Sus scrofa: one gene and its partners. The protein of the gene in region 3 interacts with the protein of the main gene of each other region in a pairwise test. Links are inferred from orthologs where the notes say so. Each region holds a gene or a part of one and is shown on either strand. Other genes may lie near its edges.

Evidence for each region.
Region 1: the proteins of UBASH3B (region 3) and DOC2A interact in binary tests that used the Homo sapiens proteins (3 or more experiments, as listed by UniProt). The link is inferred for Sus scrofa from reciprocal best matches to the Homo sapiens genes UBASH3B and DOC2A.
Region 2: the proteins of UBASH3B (region 3) and FAM168A interact in binary tests that used the Homo sapiens proteins (3 or more experiments, as listed by UniProt). The two-hybrid records come from large-scale screens. The link is inferred for Sus scrofa from reciprocal best matches to the Homo sapiens genes UBASH3B and FAM168A.
Region 4: the proteins of UBASH3B (region 3) and DAZAP2 interact in binary tests that used the Homo sapiens proteins (3 or more experiments, as listed by UniProt). The two-hybrid records come from large-scale screens. The link is inferred for Sus scrofa from reciprocal best matches to the Homo sapiens genes UBASH3B and DAZAP2.

Annotation. Positions count from the first base shown.
Region 1 is NC_010445.4:18,212,460-18,218,329, forward strand, and holds the start of DOC2A (double C2-like domain-containing protein alpha), read right to left. Parts: upstream 3,539-5,870; 5' UTR 3,017-3,538; coding exon 2,494-3,016; intron 2,131-2,493; coding exon 2,051-2,130; intron 1,862-2,050; coding exon 1,787-1,861; intron 1,663-1,786; coding exon 1,553-1,662; intron 408-1,552; coding exon 137-407; intron 69-136; coding exon 1-68. UniProt on the Homo sapiens protein: Calcium sensor which most probably regulates fusion of vesicles with membranes. Binds calcium and phospholipids. May be involved in calcium dependent neurotransmitter release through the interaction with UNC13A.
Region 2 is NC_010451.4:8,068,032-8,073,836, forward strand, and holds the start of FAM168A (protein FAM168A), read right to left. Parts: upstream 3,954-5,805; 5' UTR 3,501-3,953; intron 1-3,500.
Region 3 is NC_010451.4:49,766,067-49,770,709, forward strand, and holds part of UBASH3B (ubiquitin-associated and SH3 domain-containing protein B), read left to right. Parts: intron 1-185; coding exon 186-295; intron 296-1,541; coding exon 1,542-1,679; 3' UTR 1,680-4,643. UniProt on the Homo sapiens protein: Interferes with CBL-mediated down-regulation and degradation of receptor-type tyrosine kinases. Promotes accumulation of activated target receptors, such as T-cell receptors and EGFR, on the cell surface.
Region 4 is NW_018085018.1:159,991-165,624, forward strand, and holds DAZAP2 (DAZ-associated protein 2), read right to left. Parts: upstream 3,573-5,634; 5' UTR 3,508-3,572; coding exon 3,495-3,507; intron 2,497-3,494; coding exon 2,378-2,496; intron 1,969-2,377; coding exon 1,723-1,968; intron 823-1,722; coding exon 694-822; coding exon of another isoform or gene 500-693; 3' UTR 352-499; downstream 1-351. UniProt on the Homo sapiens protein: In unstressed cells, promotes SIAH1-mediated polyubiquitination and degradation of the serine/threonine-protein kinase HIPK2, probably by acting as a loading factor that potentiates complex formation between HIPK2 and ubiquitin ligase SIAH1.

The DNA of each region.
Region 1 (5,870 bases), on a different chromosome or scaffold from region 3:
TAGCTGAGGCTCAGCAGGATGCGTCCTCGCTCTTCCAGCAGCCCGGGCCCCTGCTCCACCTGCTCCAGCTGTGGGCAGACGGGTTCAGCCTGCGTCCCCTCCACCGCCCCCCCAGCAGTCCCTGCGGGTCGCTCACCTCCTTCAGGTAACAGGAGATGCCCCTCAGCGCCGCAGACATGGAAGAGGGTGAAGCCAGCTGAGGGGGGGGCAAAGAGAAAGTTCTGGAAACCCGGTCTCCCCAGGGCCCCCTTCCCATGGGACCCCGCCGCCCCACACAGACCGGGACCTGGCGCTCCAGGCAGATGTTAAAATGCTTCTTCTGTGAAGGCTTGAGGCGGCGGAGGGGCACGCGGATCTCCCCGATGAACTCGTTGTGGCTCAGCTTGTCCTCGTCACAGACGGAGATCCTGGAGGGGTGCTGCAGGGTCAGGGCCCCTGGGGTCCCTGAGCCCCACTCCAGTGTGGGAGAAAGGTCCTCCACGTGAACTCCGAACGCCCGGGCTGGTCCCGGCTCTGCCCTGAATGCTCTGTTCCTCGCTTGTGAAATGGGCTGTTTCGGGGCTGGCTGGTTAGCGCCAGGCCTGGGCCTCGAGAAGGATGCTTTGATACGCCCTGTGCCTCTGCACCCCCTTTTCCGGATGCCCTGCCTGTCCCTGGGCCCTCAGGACGGCTTTAGCTCCTTCAGGACCCCCCCCCCCCACACACACACACACACTGCCTCCACTCAGGGCCTGGCGACAGGATGCCACGGAATGTGCATAGCACTGGTGGAGTGGGTCCCGGGTCCGACATGGAGGCGCTAGAAGGCCCTGGAGATGCTCTGAGGAGTCAGACCAGGAGCTCACACCTTCCCTAGAGCCCCCGTTTCTTTTCTGTGTGGAGCAGGGAGCCAGCCTGGGAGAGTCTCAGGAGCCCAGCCATGAAGGGATTATTGCTTTTAGTTCCATCCGTTTCCATGTGCAGCCCCCTGCACGTCCTTCTGAGGTCACCCTCAGCAGCTCTGTCAGGTAGGAGTGTTCCGTTTCCAGCTCCGCCACTTTTATAGCAACCCCGTGACCTGGAGCAAATCGCTTAACCTCCCTAAGGCCTCATTGCCACGCCTGTCCCTTGAGACGTCACTCCTTAGCCATGTTAGGGGGACAGAAGCAACAGGATGGGCAGACCTCCGCTGCAGAGGTGTGACTTAAGTCAGGGGCTCTAGAAAGGGTCTCTAGACCAGGAAACGATTGCAGGAGGAGGCAGAGCCTCAAAGGATGAGAGGGATTTAGGCCCGCAGAGAGGGGAGGCCAGAAGTGACACAGCAGGCAATGCTCAGGAGTTATGAACCCCACCAGCGGGAAGAGGGCGGCCCTCTGTTGGAGGAGCAGTAGGGGATATCTGAGGGGCAGGGACACAGGGTGGCCTGCTCCCAAAGGGGAAGGGAGCCACTGATGGTTCTTGAGCGTCTGAGAGGGCTTAGTGGAAGGTGGATCAACCAATCCAAGAAGGTTCCAAAGAGCTGTCCCCAAGGAGGCGCTGTCCTCCCTGGTAACAGGGAGGAGGGACCCCTCACCTGAGCACCTTGTGGGTGATGTCCTCGTCCGTGATCCCGCTGTATGTCAGGTCCTCGTTCCACACAGGATTCAGCGTGTTCCTCTGAGTCTTTGTCTTTAACTTATTGGCCTAAGGTGTGGGGACGAAGGGTTCTCAGTACGTCGTGATGCACAGAGGCTGGAGGCAGGAGAAAATTGGGGACAGACCCGCAAGCTGAGTGAGTCCGGGGGACAGGGGAGGGGGAGGCCATTACCTTGCAGGCTCCAGGCAGCAGGTGCAGCTTTACGTAGGGGTCGGCCAGGCCGTTGAAATCCATGGGCTTGAGGCCCTGGGATAGCGTGGAGGAAAGAGGGCTGTGAGCTCCCAGTCTTATCAGCCTGCCCTCCCTCCCTGTCTCTGCAGAGTGGACCCCGGGGGGGGGGGGGGGGGGAAATGGGGGAAGGAGCAGGAGTCAGGCCTAGGGAAGGGAAGGGGGGAGGCAAACAGGACCAGGGCTTGGGAGGCAAGAAGCACCCACCTTGGCCCTGAGGATACTACAGTGCAGCGTGCAGGAAGCCTGGTCATAGAGAAGGTCAAACTCCAGCATGCCCAGGGCGGCTGGAGGAGAGGGAAGAGGTAGCCTGAGTCAGTGAGTCAAGACAGGTGTGTGACAGAGAGCCGGGGGGCAGGCCCGCTCCGTGGGCCAGCTGTGAAGGTGTGCGCCCGTCTGCGTCTATCAGCCTGCGGAGTGTGTGCGCGCGTCTGGGTCCCTGGCTGGGCTGCAACTGGGGCTGTGTGGGTGGTTGAGTGTCTCAGCAGAAATATTGAATATTGAGCCTGGCTGAAGCTGTAATCACCATTCTGACTGCAGCTGTGGTGGCCGTGCCCGCCGCCTCCCCACGCCCAGCGGGGGCCCCGTGCCCCTGCTGTGAGCCTGGAGCCCCCACTAGCACCCTGAGCCTTTCAGGTCCCCAGACTCACTGGTATCGTCCGAGTCATAGCTGTCCACCTCAGCTCCATCCTCAGGCGTGGTGGCCCCAAGGAGGGCTGCGGGGGGCGCCAAGGCCAGGGGCGCCAGTCGGGCCGGGGCCTCTCCGAAGCCCCTGCCGCCCCCTTCGGGTCCCAGTCCCCGGCGGGGGAAGTAGTCAGAGATCTGGCGGATGGGCCGGATGGGCCCGGGGCACACGTTGATGGCCATGTGCTCCTGGATGTTGATGGTCATGCGGTCGCCCCTGCGGCCCCTCATGCAGCACCCCTGGGTGGGGGAGGGAGGTTCCAGAGAGCGTGAGCCCGGGGCTGACTTCAAACCTACCATCTGCTGGCTGAGGGCCAGGCAACACCCTCCTGGATCTGTGGGTCCCCAGTGGCCTCCCTTCCTAGGTATTGAGGGAGACTGCAGCCTGTGCCAGCTGACGGCCAGGCAGAAGGCCTGGGCCCTCCAGACCCCAAGCTGTCCTCCACAGGGGCTGCGCTGCCAGCCCCCCCAGATAGGTCCTGGCTCCATCTCAGCCTTGCCCACTTACCTCTGGATTGTCCCTTTGTCATCTTCCCAGCTCCTACCCTCATTCTGGGCTTCTGGCTGCCCTGGGCCCTATCTACCCCTAAAGCAGCCCCATTGGTCCTCTCCTCTGTCTCTCTGAGGCTCTGGCTATCCTTCAGCACCAGGCGCTTGTCAGGTCTGGGTATCACCCACCCCTTAGGTTTTCACTTCCCACTGTCCCTTCATTCAGCCCCAGGATCTGCTGGCCTCCCTGGTCCCCTACCCCCGCAGCTCAAGGTGAGGACCCCTGCCTCAGATGCCACCTCCCGAGACTGGCTCTCCAGAGGAGCCAGAAATTGCAGCCTCCCGAGAGCCAAACACCCCCGGAGGCACACACAGGCTAACACACACTCACCCTCACCCTCGCCCCTGGCAGCCCAGGCCCCTGCACCTGTCTCTGCGCCTCCAACAGGTGCCCAAGTACTGGGGGGACAGCGGGTGCCGGCTGGGCGGCGGCGGCCGGCGATTCCCAGGGCGGCCGGCGAGAAGAGCGCCGAGTCCGGCAGTCTGAGCCGAGAGGGAGGGAGAGCTGGAGAAAGTGCGGGGGGGAGGGGGGGAGCGTGGTGGAGGCGAGGATGCAGCCGGCGCAGGCGGCGCGGGGCGGGGAGGGGCGGCGGGAGGCTGGGGAGGGGGCGGGACTACTCTCCCGCCGGCGCCCGCCCGGGCACACTTAGGAGCGCGCACGAGTGCACACACACGGGCAGGCTGGCACTCGCATCTTGCACGGGCACTCCTGTGCGCACGCCTGTGCCCACGTGCGCACGCTCACACTCGTGCACAACCCCAGACACGCGCTGGCACACTCACCCTGGAGAACTTCGCAAACACACGGGCTCCCTGCGCCACCAGGAACCCACAGCGAGAACTGCCCGGTGTTCCCCAACTCCTCCCGGGAGACCCGGGCCCCCGTTCCGCCCCCGCGCCGAGCGCCTTAGCCTCCCTCCCGCGCCTTCTCCTTGCTTTCCTCCCGGGTCTCCAGGGCGGACCACCGGCCTAGTTGCCATGGCGACGCCGGTTCATCCTTTCCCCCCTTCCCCCCTCGCGCGTTCTCACGCCCCTCCCCCGCAGACAGCCCTCGGAGAAGGGGGGGAGGGCATATGGCCCTCCCCTCCCAATATCCGTAGGGGCGGGGCCTGAGGGGCGGGGCTTAGAGATCCGCAGTGACCCAGGGGCGGGCTGAAGAAGAGGGTCTGGTAGGCCCGCGGTCCCTGGTTTGGGATCTTGGGGTCCCGGACCCGGTCAGGGAAACGTCGCAGTCGGAGGTCAGAGGCTGTGGCTTCCCCCACGCCTCCTTCCTTCGGCTGTTCAGGCTTCTCTCCTTGTGACCCAACCCAGCCCCCGAGGGCCCATGTCCCCTTCCCAGGGATGGCTTCTCCTTCGGGAATCCACCTTCCCTCGCCCTCCGATTTCCAGTCTGTCCCTCAGGTGGGGCGGGGCGTCGGGCTTAGTTTAAATGCCCTGGAGCCCAGCAGTCTTTCCTCCTCCGTCTGCCTCCTCTCACCTGAACCCTGCCACCTGCAGTCTAACCCCAGCCTTTGATCTTTGCTCTCCTTTGCCCCAGACTTGCCAGCCCTTCAAGGCCCTTCCCCCTTATTCACCTTGCTGGCTCTCAGAACATTGCTTGCAGTTTCTAGAATACACCTGGATCTCTCAGATCTCCAGACCTTTGCTCACCCAAGGTCCCCAGCTGGGAAGATCTTTCCTTTCTTCAGGGGTCATTCTGGACCACCTCTTCCTAAGACACTTACTGGACCATCCGCACCTCCACCCCTGGCCCAGGCCCCAGCTCTCAGTGCTATCTCAGGTTCAGCTCTGGTAGCACTGGTTTGTCATACCTGTTTACATTTCTCCCCCACTACCAGGGAGCAGAGGCTGCCTCAAGCTAGTCCTGGCACTAGATTGGCACCACTAAGTAGTATGACTTTAGGTTGCATAGCCGTGTGAATATACTTAACATTGCTGAACTGTGTGCTTGAAAATGGCTAAGATATAAATATTCCTATGTGGATTTTTACCCCAGTTTTTTTTTTTTAAGAGAAATGTGAAATCAAACTACACTGAGATACCACTTGTCGCCTATCAAATGCTAAAATTCAAAGCAAAAGTGAAAACACAATGTTAGCGAAGCTGCGGGGAAATGGGCACCACCTCTGTGGAGGCCAGTCTGACAATGGCTACTGTCAGACTCTTTGACCCAGAAATTCTACTTCTAGGATTTGGCCCATGAGCAAAAATGACAGAAGTTCAAGGGCATTAACCACAGCATGTTTGCAATGGCAACAGACTAGAAACAACCTAAAGGTCCACGACTGGGGAAGTTCCTGTCGTGGCTCAGCAGAAACGAATCTGCCTACTGTCCATCAGGACCCAGGTTCAATCCCTGGCCTCGCCCAGTGGGTTGAGGATCTGGCGTTGCTGTGAGCTGTGGGGTAGGTTGCAGAGGCAGCTCGGATCCCGAGTTGCTGTAGCTGTGGCATAGGCCAGCAGCTACAGCTCCCATTTGACCCCTAGCCTGGGAACTTCCATATCCTGCAGGTGTGGCCCTAAAAAAAAAAGACCAAATAAATGAATAAAGGTCCACGTGACTGGTTCAATCAAGTTATGCCACAGTTTCACACAATGAAATAGCATGCAGCCACAATGAAGGAAGAAGCCGTTTATGTATTTGCACAGAATCATCTTAACAGCATCATGGGAACTGAAAAAAGTAAGGTACAGAGGAGGATGAATGGAATGTTGCCATTTGAATGAGAAAAAAAAAAAAGAGCTTATATGTGTTTGTTTATTTGTTCATAAATTATTTCTGAAGCCTGCACAA
Region 2 (5,805 bases), about 42 Mb from region 3:
AAAACACTTTCAATTCCAAGGTTAAGTCCAACCTTCAAACATTCTACCCATTTTGGAACTGCAGAAAAAGGAAAAAAAAGATTCTTAATACTGGGTATTCTTAGGTCCTCAACTGTGAAATACAAGGAAAATGGTTTGAGACCCCACACTACTGATCACATTAGTTCTGCCTCACTTTACTCACTACATTTAAATCTCCTATCTGTCCCAGGACACCAAAAGCTCCTCGACAACTTTTTTTGCTCATTTTCATTTCCCCTGGCACTTAGCAGGCAATAAGTAAGTAAATAAATATTGAACAAACATTTCATATATATTCAGTGTTTTCAGGACATAAAGTTATTTCAGGACACAAACTCATTTGGTCCCCTTTTCAGCCTTGTGACTTGTGAAATTTTTTAACTTATCATTTTAACCATATTTAATTGTACAAATTAGTGGAAGCAAGTACATTCACAAAGTTGTGCAACCATTACCACTAAATATGAAGGCTTTTTAATGACTTTACTAAAATCACTTGCTATCAGTGGTGGGAAGGGGATCTGAACCCAGGACTCCTGACCCCTAAATTCATGAGCTATTATTCATTACACCAAGGTACCTGTCTGTGAATACCTCCACTGCCCTCCCCTTCTCAGCAGAACATGTGGAGAATCAAATGAGGTTAAGATACCAAAACACTCTACACACATTTCTACTACACGAATGAACACAATTGTGAGAAAAGAAAAAAAAAGTATAAAAACATTTCTCCCAGGTGATTCCTTTTCATTTTGAACTCCTAAAAGCTAGGGCTTTAATATAAATATCACACCTCTTGATCAAGCCTGCAGATCCACTAAAGCAATGCCGGGACCCCAGAGTCAAGTTATGAGGAGAAATGCCTGCATTAGTTAGATTACACTCTCATCAAATTTGGGTAACTGCTTAAACCTGATGTTTATTGTTAATACAGAAAGCTCCTCATAACAAAACACTTTCAATACCAAGGTTAAGTCCAACCTTCAATCATTCTGCCCATTTTGGAACCACCAAAAAAAAAATTCTTATTAGGTATTTTTATGTGCTGTGAAAGCCAAGGAAAATTGTTTATGAGCTAAACTCTGAAACTTAAAACACAAAAAGAATAATTTTGATCCTGTTGGTTATCCTCCCATTTTTTTTTTCCTCAGTCTGAGCTCTCATCAACAGCCACTTCATGTTTAACTCATCATAGTTAATGCAATTAAGTCCAGAAAACTGTTTCCCTAAAGATACTTCCTCCATTAACATCCTTCTCTACCTTCCAGCATCACAATTCTGCCCTGAGAATAAGCATATCATTAAGCTTTAAATAAAATTTCTGATGACTAGATGGAGATATCGTTTTTTGTAGTTATCCAACATGCTTACAGTGCCTTAAAAAATTAAATAAAAATGATTCTATAGGTTTTTATCCACATCTGACAGAATTCTAACCTCCTGAATTCCTGCAAAAAAAATTCAATCTATAGAAGTACTGTCCAATTATTTTAAATCGTATCAAGTAACGTCAAAAGAGACTCAAATGAAAAACTCCATCAATACCAAACCATCTCACCAATGAATATTTATGACATTTCCATATTTCCTGTCTTCTCTCTGTTTACATAAAGCGGTAGTGCCAAGATTCATCTCAGGATTATTAGCCTGCAATACAATGATGGGCCTAATTGCCTTGCAAACCAGGACACCAATAAATGGAGTCTTCAAGCAATCAATTTTAAGAGGAGAAGAAAAAAAAAGGCCTGAGCTCTTTCTGAATACATGCACGTTGCCTGACTAGGAAATAAATTCAGCCTCCTATTTTTCAGTCTCATTCATCAGTTCTCAAGCAGGGAATGCTCCCTTAACTACCTCAAGCTCATCAAATCTATTTAATGCCAAATTCCAGGACTGATTTTTAAATGCACCTGGGGGAAGGCAGAAAGGAGACAGCAGAGACATCAAATAGATAGCTATCACATTCCAGTTTCATCTTCTTCCCCTTTAGTGTGGAAGTGGGTTTTTTTCCCCTTAGCTTTTCATAATATATGAATAATAGAAGACACTTCCCTCTCCTCTATTCTACCTTAACTGAAACCCCTCTCAACTTTACCCTTTGTGTTACTTTTAAATATGATCCTAATACAAATGAAACAAAAACAGCTTAACAAGTCCTCTAGAAAACAGTCTTTAATGTCCCTTCTCTGTCCCCTGCAAGGTCCCCCAACCATGGCCTCCAAAGCTGTCCATTTAAGTCCAACCCCCAACCCTCCAGTGTCTCTTGGAAGCCATCCCAATCCTTCCTCTCCAGAATCATTCAATCCACCCCTTCCCAGCACTGCTCACTGCCCCTCTCCATCCTCCCTGCCCCATCCATACCAGCAACCCCAGGTTTTTCCACTCCTTAATTAGCCCCAACGGCTACCTCACTATCAGCAACTACCTCTTGAGTCCTATCAGTTCATATCAGACATTTTCTCCAAAACTCCCTCGCCACCTTGGCCAAGGGATATTTTCTTCAATATATCATCCCCAACCTTGCTCACCACCTGCCACTGTTCCTTCAGTGTGTCCAGCCCAGAAGCATCTTGTGCGCCCTCTGCCCTGACCCCGACCCAGGGGGCCACCATGCCCCTTCCAGCAATTCTAAAATCACTCTAAATCCCATCCCACTGTGCTCTCCCCACCAAATGGCAATGCTTCTCTGCCCATTTTTCGGCCTAACTTATTTCCCCCCTCCTGCCAGCTCACCTTCACACTCCCTCATTGAAAGTCCCGCCCCCACTATTTCCAACCTCCATAAGCACTTCCCAGGAAACCCCCCAATTCTACCTACCTCTGCTCTCCTAAGCCACGCTATTCCATAAGTCGCAACAAATTCCACCATCCCCAGATGGCAAGCGCCCACTTCAAGCTCAGGTCTCAACCCAGGCCAAGCCCCTCACCCCCAGCTCCTACCACCTTCATCAGCCAGCCCGAGGTCCACCTCAAATTCCGCCCTCCTTAATTAACATCCCCCGAGGGTCCTACTAACCCTGTAATCCAACTCTCTATTCAAATAAACCCCCGACCCCGCAACCCGGCCCGGATCCCAAGCTGTCAATTGCTCCAGGCCAACCCCAAATTCACCACCCTCACGCAGTCCCCTCCCCCATTAGAAGCCATCCCCCTCCAGTCTCATCATCCATTTCGCCCCAAACCACCCAAATTCCACCCCAATCCTACAACCCCACGCTCCTGTCCCAGGTCTGGTCACTCCCCATTAAAAGTCCCCTTCCCTAGCCGCTCCCCCCCAACCTGCTAGTGTCCCACCCTCACCCCACCCCCAGCCCGCGCCAGGACAAGTCTCCCCGGCCAGCCCGCCGTTCCATCGCAACCTCAGCCCCCTTCCCCCAGCCCGCGAGGGCACTCCGTGCCCCGACTCTCATTCTCCCCAGTACCACCGGCCCAGGCTCAGGGAGAGCGGACCGGCGTTGGGAGGGGGGGGATCGCCTCACCGGTGAGCCGCTGCAGGCGAAAACGGCGGCGGCGGCGGCTGAGACGACGATGCCCTTGTCTTCTCTGAAGGCTACGGAGGCGACGCTCTCGCTCCCTCGCCCGTGTCCAGTAAGGAGGCGGATGGCGCGCAGGGACCGGGAGCCTCCTCCTCCTCCTCAGCGACTCGGCTCTGAATCCTCTGCAGTAGCCGCCGAGGAGCCCGACGGGTGGGGGGAGGGGACGCTGGGCTGCGGGCGAGGGAGGAGGAGGCTGAGGGAAGGGGCGGGGGACCGCTGAGAAGGGCTGGGAAGGAGGAGCCGGCGCGGCGCCGCGACACATCCCACAGCCTCAGCGCGCCTGGACCACAACTCCCGGCATGCCCCGCTCCGACCCGCGCTCAGCCTGCGCCTCCCGCCCCCGCACTCGTTGCGGAGGGACCGCTCTCTTCCCGGTCACAGACAATGGAATAAAGCCAGCTCTCCGCGGGGGGCTTTTGTAGACTCAAAGACCACATACGAGGGAAAATTAGGTCGCCCCGCTGCCCCATCCCCCAAAGGACCATGTTTGTGGCGTCTCTTCGCGGGCACGCGCACACTCCCATATAGACCCCCCCACTACCACCACTTCCCGCCGAACTACATTTCCCAGCATGCCCTCACAGCCTCGCGCCCTGCTTCCGGGCCCTTCTCAGACTCTGTACTACAGTTCCCAGGGAGCGTGGTTCTTGTGAAACGCTGGGAGATGCAGTTCTCAGTTCTTCCTCCATGTTAAGCCTAAGAAGTGAAAGAGAGAAAAAAGGGAAGGAAATATGCCAACCCATCGAGAACAGGCCTAGATAGACTAGTTCACCTTGGAGTCTGTACTCTTTTCGCCATCTCCGTCGCCACTGTCTCTCACTAGACAAACGCAGCGGCTCCTCCTGGTCTCTCTGCAAATCCGGACGATTTGGCACCTTGAACCCAAAGGAAAAAAAAAAGCGTACCTCTTGACGCAGCCTCATTACTTTTAAGAATTTACCTTAAAAAGAAAATCAACAATTTGGAAAAGATGAATGCACAAGGTTGTTATATGAGGTTGTTGATTATAGAGTCCATCCATAGGAACTGGTTAAAGTAAATTGCATATACAAACAATATACTACTAAGCAGCCATTCAAAATACTGATATGAATCTGTTTCTTGACATCAAAATCTATTCTAGAGCGGGGGAAATGCTAAGAACAGTATGTTTAGAATGATCCAATTTATGTGAAGCTTGGGACAATATAAGATTTCAGGAAAGAGGTTTCCCAAAATAATCTGTCATTATCTTGGAGAAAAGTGTCAGATTTCAAATAACTTTTATTTTAATATTGCCTGCATTGTTTAAAAAGAGCACATAAGTTTTTAAGCTTTTAAGACTATTTTCCAAAATATAATTTCCAAATTCAACAACAATTTGTCTTTGCTACCTAAAAGCTTTCCATGGCTTTCTGTTGCCCTCTGTGGTGATCCAAGACTGCCTGGTTTTTCTGTGAGCTCAGCATTTCCACTATTAAAACAATGAATGGTGGTCATGTAGAATCATAAAAGAACATTAAGTTAGTAGGGAGGGCTTTCTCAATTTTTATTGTCTCTTCTCAAATTTTTCCTTCTGGTCTTTCCACACCTATTTCCTCCTTTTCTCCTACTCATTCTTGAAACTCAAGCCAAAGTCCTACCCTCCCCAGAACATTTTAGACACATTGATTTTCCTTATATCTGAGTTCTTATAGCAATTGTTTCTACTCTTTAGGGATCACTGTGGGGAGGAGGAATGAGGCGGGAGGAACGAAGTTATTGTTAAGAGTCTACAAAGCAATACTTAAAGCATTGTCTGTAGACTGAATAAATAATCTTACACTTAAATATTGTTTCCTTCTGTGTGCAGCTTTTCTAGAACATGGAATGTTGTATCAGATGATTTCTGATTTAACATAAATCCTGCATTCGACTACAATATTTTAGATTTTATGTAATTTTTCCTTGCTATTCTGCAAGAAACACCAGAACATTTGAGTTCCCATCCACAGGCCTACCAGAAAAGCCCAGGTTGCTTAAATCAAAGGTTAATTTAGTCCAAGGTCCTGCTGCGGCCAATCGCTTCAGCAGCTTCACCCCACCTAAATCTAATTACACCCTTATGTCTTATGACTCATTTTCCCCAAAACAGTCATCATCTTTTTCCAGCTACCTTATTTTCCATCCTATACTCCCAGGCTTAAAATTTCAGGTCCCAACCCCTCGGCCCTGCAAAAATCCTAGACCTCTGCTCCCTTTTCTGAGAATGGTCAGAAAAGTGCCTGTG
Region 3 (4,643 bases):
TTTTGTTTTTTAAAATAAGATGAGGCTATCTTAATGATACAAAGCATTTTCAAAATGTTGCTTGGCCGAATAGTCTTCATCTTGAGAATGTTTGCCCCTCCCTGGAACACTGGGCTCGAGTACTTAGAAGGTTTACATGGGTCTGCATAGACGCAGTCTCCCCAGTCTTGCTTTTCTGCCTCCAGGAAATAATATCCTGATTGTGGCCCATGCATCTTCCCTTGAGGCGTGTACCTGCCAACTTCAGGGCCTGTCACCTCAGAACTCCAAGGACTTTGTACAAATGGTCCGAAAGGTAATTCCTACTTGCACTTCAGGGGCCTGCAATGCCTTACGGTTTTAGAACAGCTCCGTGCTGGCTGGAAGCAAAGTTCTTTGGAGCATGTGTTGACTCTGAGCTGGGAAGACACATTTATTGGTTCACTTAACCAAGATGTATTGAGTGGGACTCTCTTTAAGGCACTTCATCAGGCCTTGGGTAAGATGGGGAAAAAAAGAAAAGAAAAGATGTGTTTGAGCTAGTTTTAGCTTCTGGGAGCTCAAATGGAGGAAAGAGAGTCATAAGCAGACTGTCTGGATTTCCCTGAGAGACCATGGATTGGATAAAGAGGGGTGCATGGGCCAGCACGCAGCATCTGAGAGCTTAGCTGGAGGAGAGGTCCTGGCTGGTAGGCCACAGGAAGCCGTGATTCAAAACGATCAGGCTGAAAGGCAAACCCAAGGCAGTGAGACAGAAAGCCCGCCGCTGACCGACACATCTGGATCGCCCCCGCTCCAGCCTGTGGGAGAGGCTTTCCTGTCAGCCATCCTCCCACACACTTCCCTCCAGGCTGAATTCCATGCTTCCTTTATCTGTCCCCAAAGAACCTGGTTCAGATTCAATTGCAATTCCTTTCTCATTTGTGAAAAACTAATTTCTGTGTCTGCCCTTCCCATTAGCCTGTAAGCTGCTTGAGGGCAGAAATTTTTTTTTTTTTTTTTTGGTCTTATTTATAAAGGCAGCTCCGGACACCCACTCAAATGTGTTTTGAAATGCCATGCCTACTGAAGTTAGGAAGGGCACAGCTTCAGCTTTGAATGTTAGGTACACGTGCCCCAATAAATAAATAAATAAAGCAAGAGGAAACAATTTTTTAAAATTGAATAATCTTTCCCATTGTCCAAGTATGATTTCTGAAATGTTTGAGCTGGGTTTTTAGCATGACTTTCAATTCGGAATTAATTCCTAGTACCCTAGCTTTATAGATGATGTCTTTTTTTTTCCTCCCATGCTATTAAGAAATAATCTATAAACAATTACTTAATTGCACTAGGAGAGCTCACCATTTAATGAATCCTTCTGAAGAATTCTCTTGGATTGCAAATACTCTTCCTTATAAATTATCAGTTTTATCCATTTCATTTTCTTTACTGATTTTTTTGGAAGGGATGCTTGCCTACAAAGCCCCTATACATTCCTTTGATTATCCCTTTGTCTAAATAAAAGTTAAAGCATTAACCCTCTGTTTCCGATTTTCCCTTTCTTTCCTATCTTACTTCAGATCCCATACTTGGGGTTTTGTTCCTGTGAAGAATTAGGAGAAACTGGAATTTGGCAGCTGACAGACCCACCTATTCTTCCTCTTACCCATGGACCAACTGGGGGCTTCAACTGGAGAGAGACCTTGCTGCAAGAATAAACCGCAAGAGTGAACAAAAAGAAAAGGCTTGAGAAAGGATTTGGGAGAAGTGTCGGCTTTGGGAGAAGTGTCTTTTTGTGTGTTTAGTAACAGTGGGAAAGTCTGCACCACATCCTAAGTGGACAGCTCAGAATAATTTAGCATATTTCCTTTCAAGCTTTACCGTTCTTAGGATGAGTCTGTGTCGAGGAAAGAAAGACTTGATTCAGGGATAAAATTCATCCTCTCTGGACTCTTGCCTAGCAAACAAGGCTTTCTAGAATTATCATCCTACATCCGGGCACCTGCGACAGCAAAGCATGTTCTCCCCCTTCCAGCTATGCTGGCTAAAGAGCCTGAGTCCTCCCCAAGGGGGCTGCCAGCCCACTCCGAGGAAGGATGCAGGAGGAGGGATGTGGGAAGAAGGATGCAAGAAGAAGGATGTGAGAGAATCCAGCAGGAGGGACACCAAGCTGCGGGTTCAGTGATGGGATTTTCTTTCGAATTGCGAGCTCCAGTTAAAGCCAAGCTGAGGAGTTCTTTTAAGGTTATTAGGAAACATGTCCCCACGCGAGTTTGTCCTTAGGTTTCCCATCAATTTCTACCCTCAGTATGACCCACACACCAGTGCTGCTGGCCCAAGACGTCTGCTCAAGGTCTCTAACCTTCGCCCTGGTCCCACCACATCACATTTTCTCTAGAGCAGCTGACTGCAGCTTTTTGCTATGGTCCTACCCCCTTGCTTCTATCTGTGAAATGGGGAGGCAAAGCATTTTTTTGCTCTCCAAGGCACTTTTGGATACTCAGGAGGAAGATAAATGTGTGACGTGTTCAATCATAGGAGCGAAGAACTTGCACACTATCAAGTGACTTGGGGTTCTCCGTGTTGTAGCCTAACGAGCCACAGCACTTCGAAATCTCCGTGACTTGCTTGTCTTTGCCCCGCGCGTCTAGACCATGTGAACTGGTCAAGGATGTTGACATTTTCAAAAGATGTGTGCTACATACATCATTTGAGTCAGCAAGAAGCTCATTCTTGTGCAATATGGACATCTTTACAAACCACACCAAGGGTCAGGTCATTGTACGCTCACAGTATACGTCAATCATAACAGAACGTCCACAAATGCATCAGTCACGGCCAGGGATATAAAACGGAGTCAGGGAACTAACTTAAATGATGACAGTCACAACTGCACTGCTCCTTGTGCTGTTGTTTTTATTCATTTGTTTTTCTATGATAATTTAAAATACACAGGTAGGGCTGCTTAAGCAAAGTGGAGAGACCCACATCCTGGGATATCTCATCACACTTGCTTCCTGAATTTAGAGGGAGTTTATTTAAAAGAAAAATACATGACAATCAAGCCAAAACATCAGTTATCAATGTCTAGTTCATGTGGGCCTAGCTGACTGCTGTGGGCAGCAGACGACGGTCTGGTATGATAGCGTTCACTGTAGACTGTATGTGCAAAATGAGGGCCCAGCATTTAAAGGGAACATTCATATGAAACAAGTCAATATATATTGTAGCATTAAATAACTTTAAAACCCAAGTGCATAAAACGCATGGTATATAAAAATAGATCTAGGCTATTAGAAACTAGAATTTGATGATCCTTGAAAAGAAGAGGAAGTGAGAGGATGCTGGCTTTGTATGTTAATCAGCAAGAGGGTTACTGCTGCTGCTGTTGTTGCGAAGTCACTTAGAGAAGCATATCATGAATTCTGCATTTTAAGAAATCTTGATTTCTTCCAGCATTGCACAAACACCGATCCAGCTTCTGGGTCTAGAAATAACTCTGTGCTGACATTACTGATTAATGTAAAAGTTTTCATCTTACAATAGAGGGGGGGGAGGGGGGCGGGGAATGCTCACATTAAAGATTTTAAAAGGAAAGTCACCTCACGGCCAATGTAATGTTGCTGCCAGGCATTCTGTCATCTGTAATGAGGTGAATGCACTGTAATCAGACCTATAATATTTATTAGAGTCTCTACAAATTTTCCTGGACTTTCAGTGCTCAGCATAATGCTTGAACATCTCATATTCACTTGAAAACTGGAGCCGCGTGTGCTGGGCAGGGTCTATATGTGTGTAAAACACATTTCAGAATAGGTCATCTTCTCCCTCCCTCTCACTGGTCTTAGGTCTGACGACCTGGCCGCTTGGTTTAGCTGGGCTATGGTCCTAAGTCCAATATAGACAGAGCCTTAAGCTATCATTTACAGGAGCAAAGGAAGGCAGAGATCAGAAGTAATTTTCTAAGTAATTTAGGTGGACAACCCTAAGACAGTTTATTTCTCTGCTTTAATGATCCAGATTGATCAGAATAGCCTGAATGATTTGAATTCTCATTAAATCTCTTTTCACATTTACCTATTTGACAAACCAAACGTGGACTCCAACTGAGAAATTCTTTGGAAATCATGTTGAATCTATGTGTAATAAAAGGAGCAGACAGCTGTATTACATGATTTTCTATCCATCTAAAAATTCGAAGTGGCTATTACAACTCGTGAAGTTTAGGCTGGTTCTTTTTGATCTGAGGCTGATGTGTGTTCACAGGTGTTTTGAGGGGCTAGAAGGAAGGTGGGAGAGGAGGAGGAAGCAAGGAAGAAAATGTCAAGGAAGAACCAAATGGTTTCTGGTAGAGAGGATTTTTTTTTTTTAAGTGTAGACAGTTATCTGAAATAAACGGAGATGAAATTAACTAAAGGATTTAATCTGGGATTAAAAATCTGAAACCGTCTGCTGCTTATACAAGTGCACCACATCAACCCACTAATGGCCCAGCATTATTCACAGATAGACTTTGGTTTCAGTGATTTCAAAATGCCGCATCTATTCCTCTCCAGACTAGAATAATTGGCCCATCTTAATGCACAGGCTGGGGGATTCATTTTCCCAGGCTCTCTTCTCCATCACTGCCTTGGTAGCTAGGAGCTTATTGCTTCACCCCAGCAAGGAGTTCAGAATACAGT
Region 4 (5,634 bases), on a different chromosome or scaffold from region 3:
CTGCCTGAAGAGACGCAAAAGCAGAAGTAATGGGGGCTGTGCTTGGGGCACAGAGGGGGTTTCAGAGGATCCTTGTGAAAGACTGGTTAAAAGATGACGAGTGAGGACAAGTGCAAGGAGAGAAGGAAATTAGTCTGACTGGCTTTCTGTCCTGCACCATTGATTCAATGGAGATTGGCGGGAAGGTATCGAAGACCGGGGCTGAGGGTGGAACATGGGGCAAAGGACGAAAAGGAAAAGGCAGACAGCTAATGCAGTTCATTTGTAACAAGTAACCTAAATCAAAGACTTAAAGGAGATTAAAGACCAATCAGAATAATTTGGCAACTTTAATTCTTAGGAAGATCAAAGTTCCCTCCAAACCTAATTTGATGTTTTATTACTAAAAGCAAAGACCAGTATGGTACAGTATTACTCCAGAGGAATTACAGGAAGATCCTTAGGGCTGCTTCACCCACATTCATTTGATGAATGGATACCTCCCCTACCTCAAAATGCTTTAGGGAGGTACTGCTACCATTACATGGTTCCTTATTAAGTTTGAAAAGTGCCTGAAAGTTTGGGCACCAGAAAGACACCCCAACAACATGTGTCTAAACTGCAACTTCAGGTTAATATGACTAAAGCAGTTACATTGTGAGAAGTGCTGAAGGTATGTGACGTCTTTCCCGGCACAGAGGTGGCCTTGGTTCTTCACCAGATGGTGTAGCCGCCATCTGAGCCACCCATGAAGAAGTTTCCCTTCCGCTGAGTTACGAGGACATTCGCTCCCTGCATGACTGCCAGCTGAGCAGCATTGGGAGGGCATCCAGGGGGAGGAGGCTGAAAGGAAAAGACAAGGTTGATTGGGCACCGGGCAGCTGATACGAGAGAAGTGGACAAAGATGAAAGAGGACCGGTCAGGAAGATGGCAACGTGCTACTTGAGCCAGCAGTGTGGGTGAAGCAGGTCTATATTCTCTGTGAGCCCCAAGACATAAACAGAAAACAGATCCTACCCCTCATTTAAAGGGTCCCAGATCCAAGATAAAGCCTAGGGATCCCTCCTGGGTATGCACAGTCCAGACCCATAAGCATTTGCAGGGTGGAAAATCCCTCTGACTCCCATTCCAAAAAATGGGGAGGGGTTACCAGGTCCATGGCCCTACACCACAGAGTTCCTCAACAGTTTTCACATGGATAATCTGAAGGCTCTACCTGATGACAGCATTCTCACCTCATTGTTAGCATATGGTTACTGCGTGAATGGCCCTAGCAAGGACCATTTGGGCTCTAGTTACCATACATAGGGAAACTAAGTGGGAGACATAGTAAAAGCCCTAGTAAAGTCTTCCTAAAGGGAACTTAACAGGGATACGCATTCTACTTTTTAATCATCATGGCTCCTGATAAAATGCTGTGCAAATATTAAGTAAATGCTTATGGAATGAATGAGGAGTGTTACTAGACCAGTACCAAAGTGAACTGGAAAAGCAGCAGGCAGGACTCCTAAGACAGAAACAAAGGAATCTGGTTAACTCAGACCTCAGTGAATATGCCAGAGGCTACTGACTTCCCACAGTTCTCCTGCCCCCTCAAGTGAATTCTGCCTGATTACTGGACGTCAGTGGTTGCACCAATACCAGCAACTACTGCCCAGGGATGATGAAAGGATGACTATGTAGTCATTTCAGAAAGTTAATATACACAAGGGCTGAGGTTTTTGTGATAAAGGCATACTCACAGGAATGTTGCCAGCAGTAGCGCCAGCTCCAAATCTGGCACCTGTATCATACCCTCCTTCCACCAGCACTGTTGAACCAGGTGGATAGATGGGACCAACTGGATAATAAGCCATGGGGATTGTGGAACCTAAAGGTCCAACAGCCACAGACTGGGCCATGGGAAGGTACAGTGAGGCGCCAGGAAATGCAGCTGACATGGTGGGGACTGTGGCAGCCCCTGGGTGCACAAAGCTCGGACGATAGAGCTAGAAGAGGCAGAAGAGAGGGCAACACGTTACTTTATGACATTCTTATTTCAGATCTCTTTCATGAGGCAATTCTTAATTATTGTGCAGATTACACTCTGAGTTACACAAGTTGCCTTTCCACCAGCCACTCAATATCCTCCTGGATCACTTCCTGCTAGAAATAATGTTGGGCTCAAAGAACGCTAACTCATCTTCTCAACTTCAGCCTGTGCCAAAGAGCAAAATAATCAGATAATGCCTTCTCAACCCCAACTGAAATTGCTGAACTATAAAGAGGTTTTAGATTATCCACGTGAGCTCTCTCTCCTGTTTGTGGAGAGTAAATACATGTGTGGAGCCAGACTTAGCTAAAGACTGAAAATGTGATCCAAGAGTACTCAGTTCAAGTCTAGTAAACTGGAAGCACCTCTGAATAGGCAGGTGGAGCATCAGTATAGGGTGGAGCCTGAGGAAGATGCAAGGTCTGAGGGTACACAGGATTCCCGGGAGGCTGCACCGGGTAGGTTGGCTGCGTTGGATATTGACCTGGAAGACAGGAAAAAAAACAAAAAACAAAAAAAAGAATGTTGCCTACCACACAGAGCAACCAAAATGGGGCAGAGCATACTGGGTAGCTAACCTCACTGAGCCAGCAAGAGGTTTGCAAAAACACTGTCCTAGAGGGCCTGATTCCTGGAACCAAGAAAATAAACACTCTTTGTACCCTTATAACTGAGATGCTGGATTCTAACTGGGCTGGAAGGTCTCTTTACAGTAGCACACTGGTACAAGGGGAAAGTCTATCTAGGCCCAAGATCCTTCCAGAATGGGCATGTCTGCGCACCCATTCCTGTCGATGTTTTAAGTGTGTGCGTCCTCTCTGCTCTGGTGGTCCCCCAGGGCCTGGCTGAAACTGGCCTAGAGCTCGTGAGTAACGGTGTTTGTAGTCCTCCACCTCACAGGTTCCTACTCAAGGTCGACTTCCAAATAAAAAGAGTGGTGAAAGTGAGCCTTGGGATGGGAGAGGAGGTGGAGGCGAATGTCCTAACACAGGAACTGGGAGACGTTCAGGCGGCCAGCGAGGTTAAGGGGAAAGAGACCCTTCGGCCTGCCCGGCCCGCCCACCAGGGCCGGCAATTCACTAGTTAAGCCCTGGGGCCTGCCTGTGGTTCCGGAGCGCGGCGCCCCGCCTCCGCAGGCTCTCCATTGGCCTACCCAAATATCAGCTCTAGCTCCCCATTTGCGCCTGCAGATGCCCATCACGACAAGCCTTCTCGCCCCCCCCCCCGCTCCAACGGCCCCCCACTCGAGCCCGGAGCTCCAAACTGCGCCACAGAGTTTAAGGGGGAAAAGGCCAGGAGGGGGCGAGCAGCCGTAGTTCGGGGATGACGAAGGCGTCTGGCGCAACCCCCGGCACTACAGCTGGCCCAGGAGCGCGGCGCAACTAGCCCCAGGCCTGGCTTTTGATGACCCTTGGTCCCGGGCCCGCTCTCTCCGGGCCAGCACTATTCTCCCCGATGGCCTCAGCTACCCCCTGTCCTTGCCTTTGCTGTTCATGGTGGCTGCGGGTCCGGTTCAGCTCGGCGTCGCGGACGGTTATTTTTTTCGTCCTCTTCCTGTTCGTAGTCACTTCCGTGTCACGTGACGATTCGTCCGCCTAGCGTCACCCGACGCCCGAATGCCGCTGCCACCGGAAACCCCGCCCCTTCGCCAGGTCTCCAGTAGCTGGAGGAAGGACCCGCGTGATCCGCCCACTCACTTTGGCCCCGCCCACTGGGTCGAGCCCTCCAACCCCCACCCTTGTCCCTTGATTGGAAGAAAACAAAGTACAGGTATTGTCTCAAAACAGTATCTTTTCTCTCTTGGTCGCTCTGAGGCAGTACCTTCACACTGCTCCCCGAAACCCTTCCCACCTACGCACTGCAACTCAAGGTCACCTTACTTTGAGAGTCTTTCCACAGGGGGCACAGTGCTACGAATTTCTCTAACTGCCTGAAATACGCTCCTCAAACCCTTGATTTATCCCGTGTTCCCCTCCCATTAAACCCAACTTAAGCCTCAACTCCATAGAGGTTTATTTTGCTGGTCGTATTCACATCTGTCCTTTTCTGACTTAGACCATCACTCGAATTTTCTCAGCCTGTCCATTCTACCGACAGGCTTCTGTGTTTATTTCAGTGTCGCTTTCTCACTAAAAGGAAGGGTATGCTGTGCTGTGAACCCCCCCCCCCCCCACACACACTACAGCTAACACTGAAACTGGCATTCTTGTGGTCCCCAAGGAGTGCCTGTGGCCCTGCCCTTCCTTTGGTACCTGTTACAGGCAACTGTGTGATACCTCATGTATATTTTCCTTTGTGTATCTCCTAAATTAATTGTTCTTGGAGTTCTCTTGTGGCTCAGTGGTCTAAGGACCTGGCGTTGTCGCTGCTGTGGCTCTGGTTATAGCTATGGCAAGGGTTTGACCCCTGGCGTGGGAATTTCTGCATTCCTAGCTGAGGCAAAACAAAACAAAACAAAACAAAACAAAAACCTTGTTCTTAAGGGCAAAGATGGCATCCTTTCAGGCAGCAAATAAGTTTTTCCTTCCATTCTTCGTTTTAAAATATCTGCTGGTGTTGCTCTGTGCAAGTAGAGATGGAGCTGGACAAGACAGGCAAACATTGTTTTCTTATGGAATTTACATTCTATACTTCAGTAAGAACATTAGAAAAGCATCTGAAAAGGGAAAACTTTGGAAAGAAAAGCCCTCAGTAAACCGTAGAAGCCTGATAAATATTTGCTGATGAATGATTTAAACCACTGATTTCAGCTCAGCAATCCCTTGCTTTTGTTTCCAGTAGCATATTATGCTCAGAGTTTTCAGAGCAGAGCACCCCTGCAATGCTCTGGGGGGTCTTCATGAATCTTCACAACAGCCCTGTGTGATAGCCAGGACTTGTTTGAGCATTCCTGGCTTTTTTGTTGTTGTTGTTTTGTTTTTGTCTTTTTGCCATTTCTTGGGCCGCTCCCTCAGCATATGGAGGTTCCCAGGCTAGGGGTCCAATCGGAGCTGTAGCCACCAGCCTACGCCAGAGCCACAGCAACACAGTATGTGAGCTGTGTCTGCAACCTACACCACAGCTCACGGCAACGCGGGATCGTTAACCCACTGAGCAAAGCCAGAGATCGAACCCGCAACCTCATGGTTCCTAGTCGGTTTTGTTAACCACTGCGCCACGGTGGGAACTCTGCATTCCTGTTTTTATTTTTTTATTTTATTTATTTATTTATTTATTTATTTTTTTTTTTTTGGCTTTTTGCTATTTCTTGGGCCACTCCCGCGGCATATGGAGGTTCCCAGGCTGGGGGTCGAATCGGAGCTGTGGCCACCGGCCTACACCAGAGCCACAGCAACGCGGGATCCGAGCTGCATCTGCAACCTACACCACAGCTCACGGCAACGCCGGATCGTTAACCCACTGAGCAAGCACAGGGACCGAACCTGCAACCTCATGGTTCCTAGTCGGATTCGTTAACCACTGCGCCACGATGGGAACTCCTGCATTCCTGTTTTTAAATGTGAGAATTAATTAAAGAGATCTGGGAGTTCCCACTGTGGTGTGGTGGGTTAAGGATCCGGGGTTGTCTCTGTCTGTGTGACTTCAATCCCCAGCTGGGCACAGTGGGTTAAGGATGCAGGCA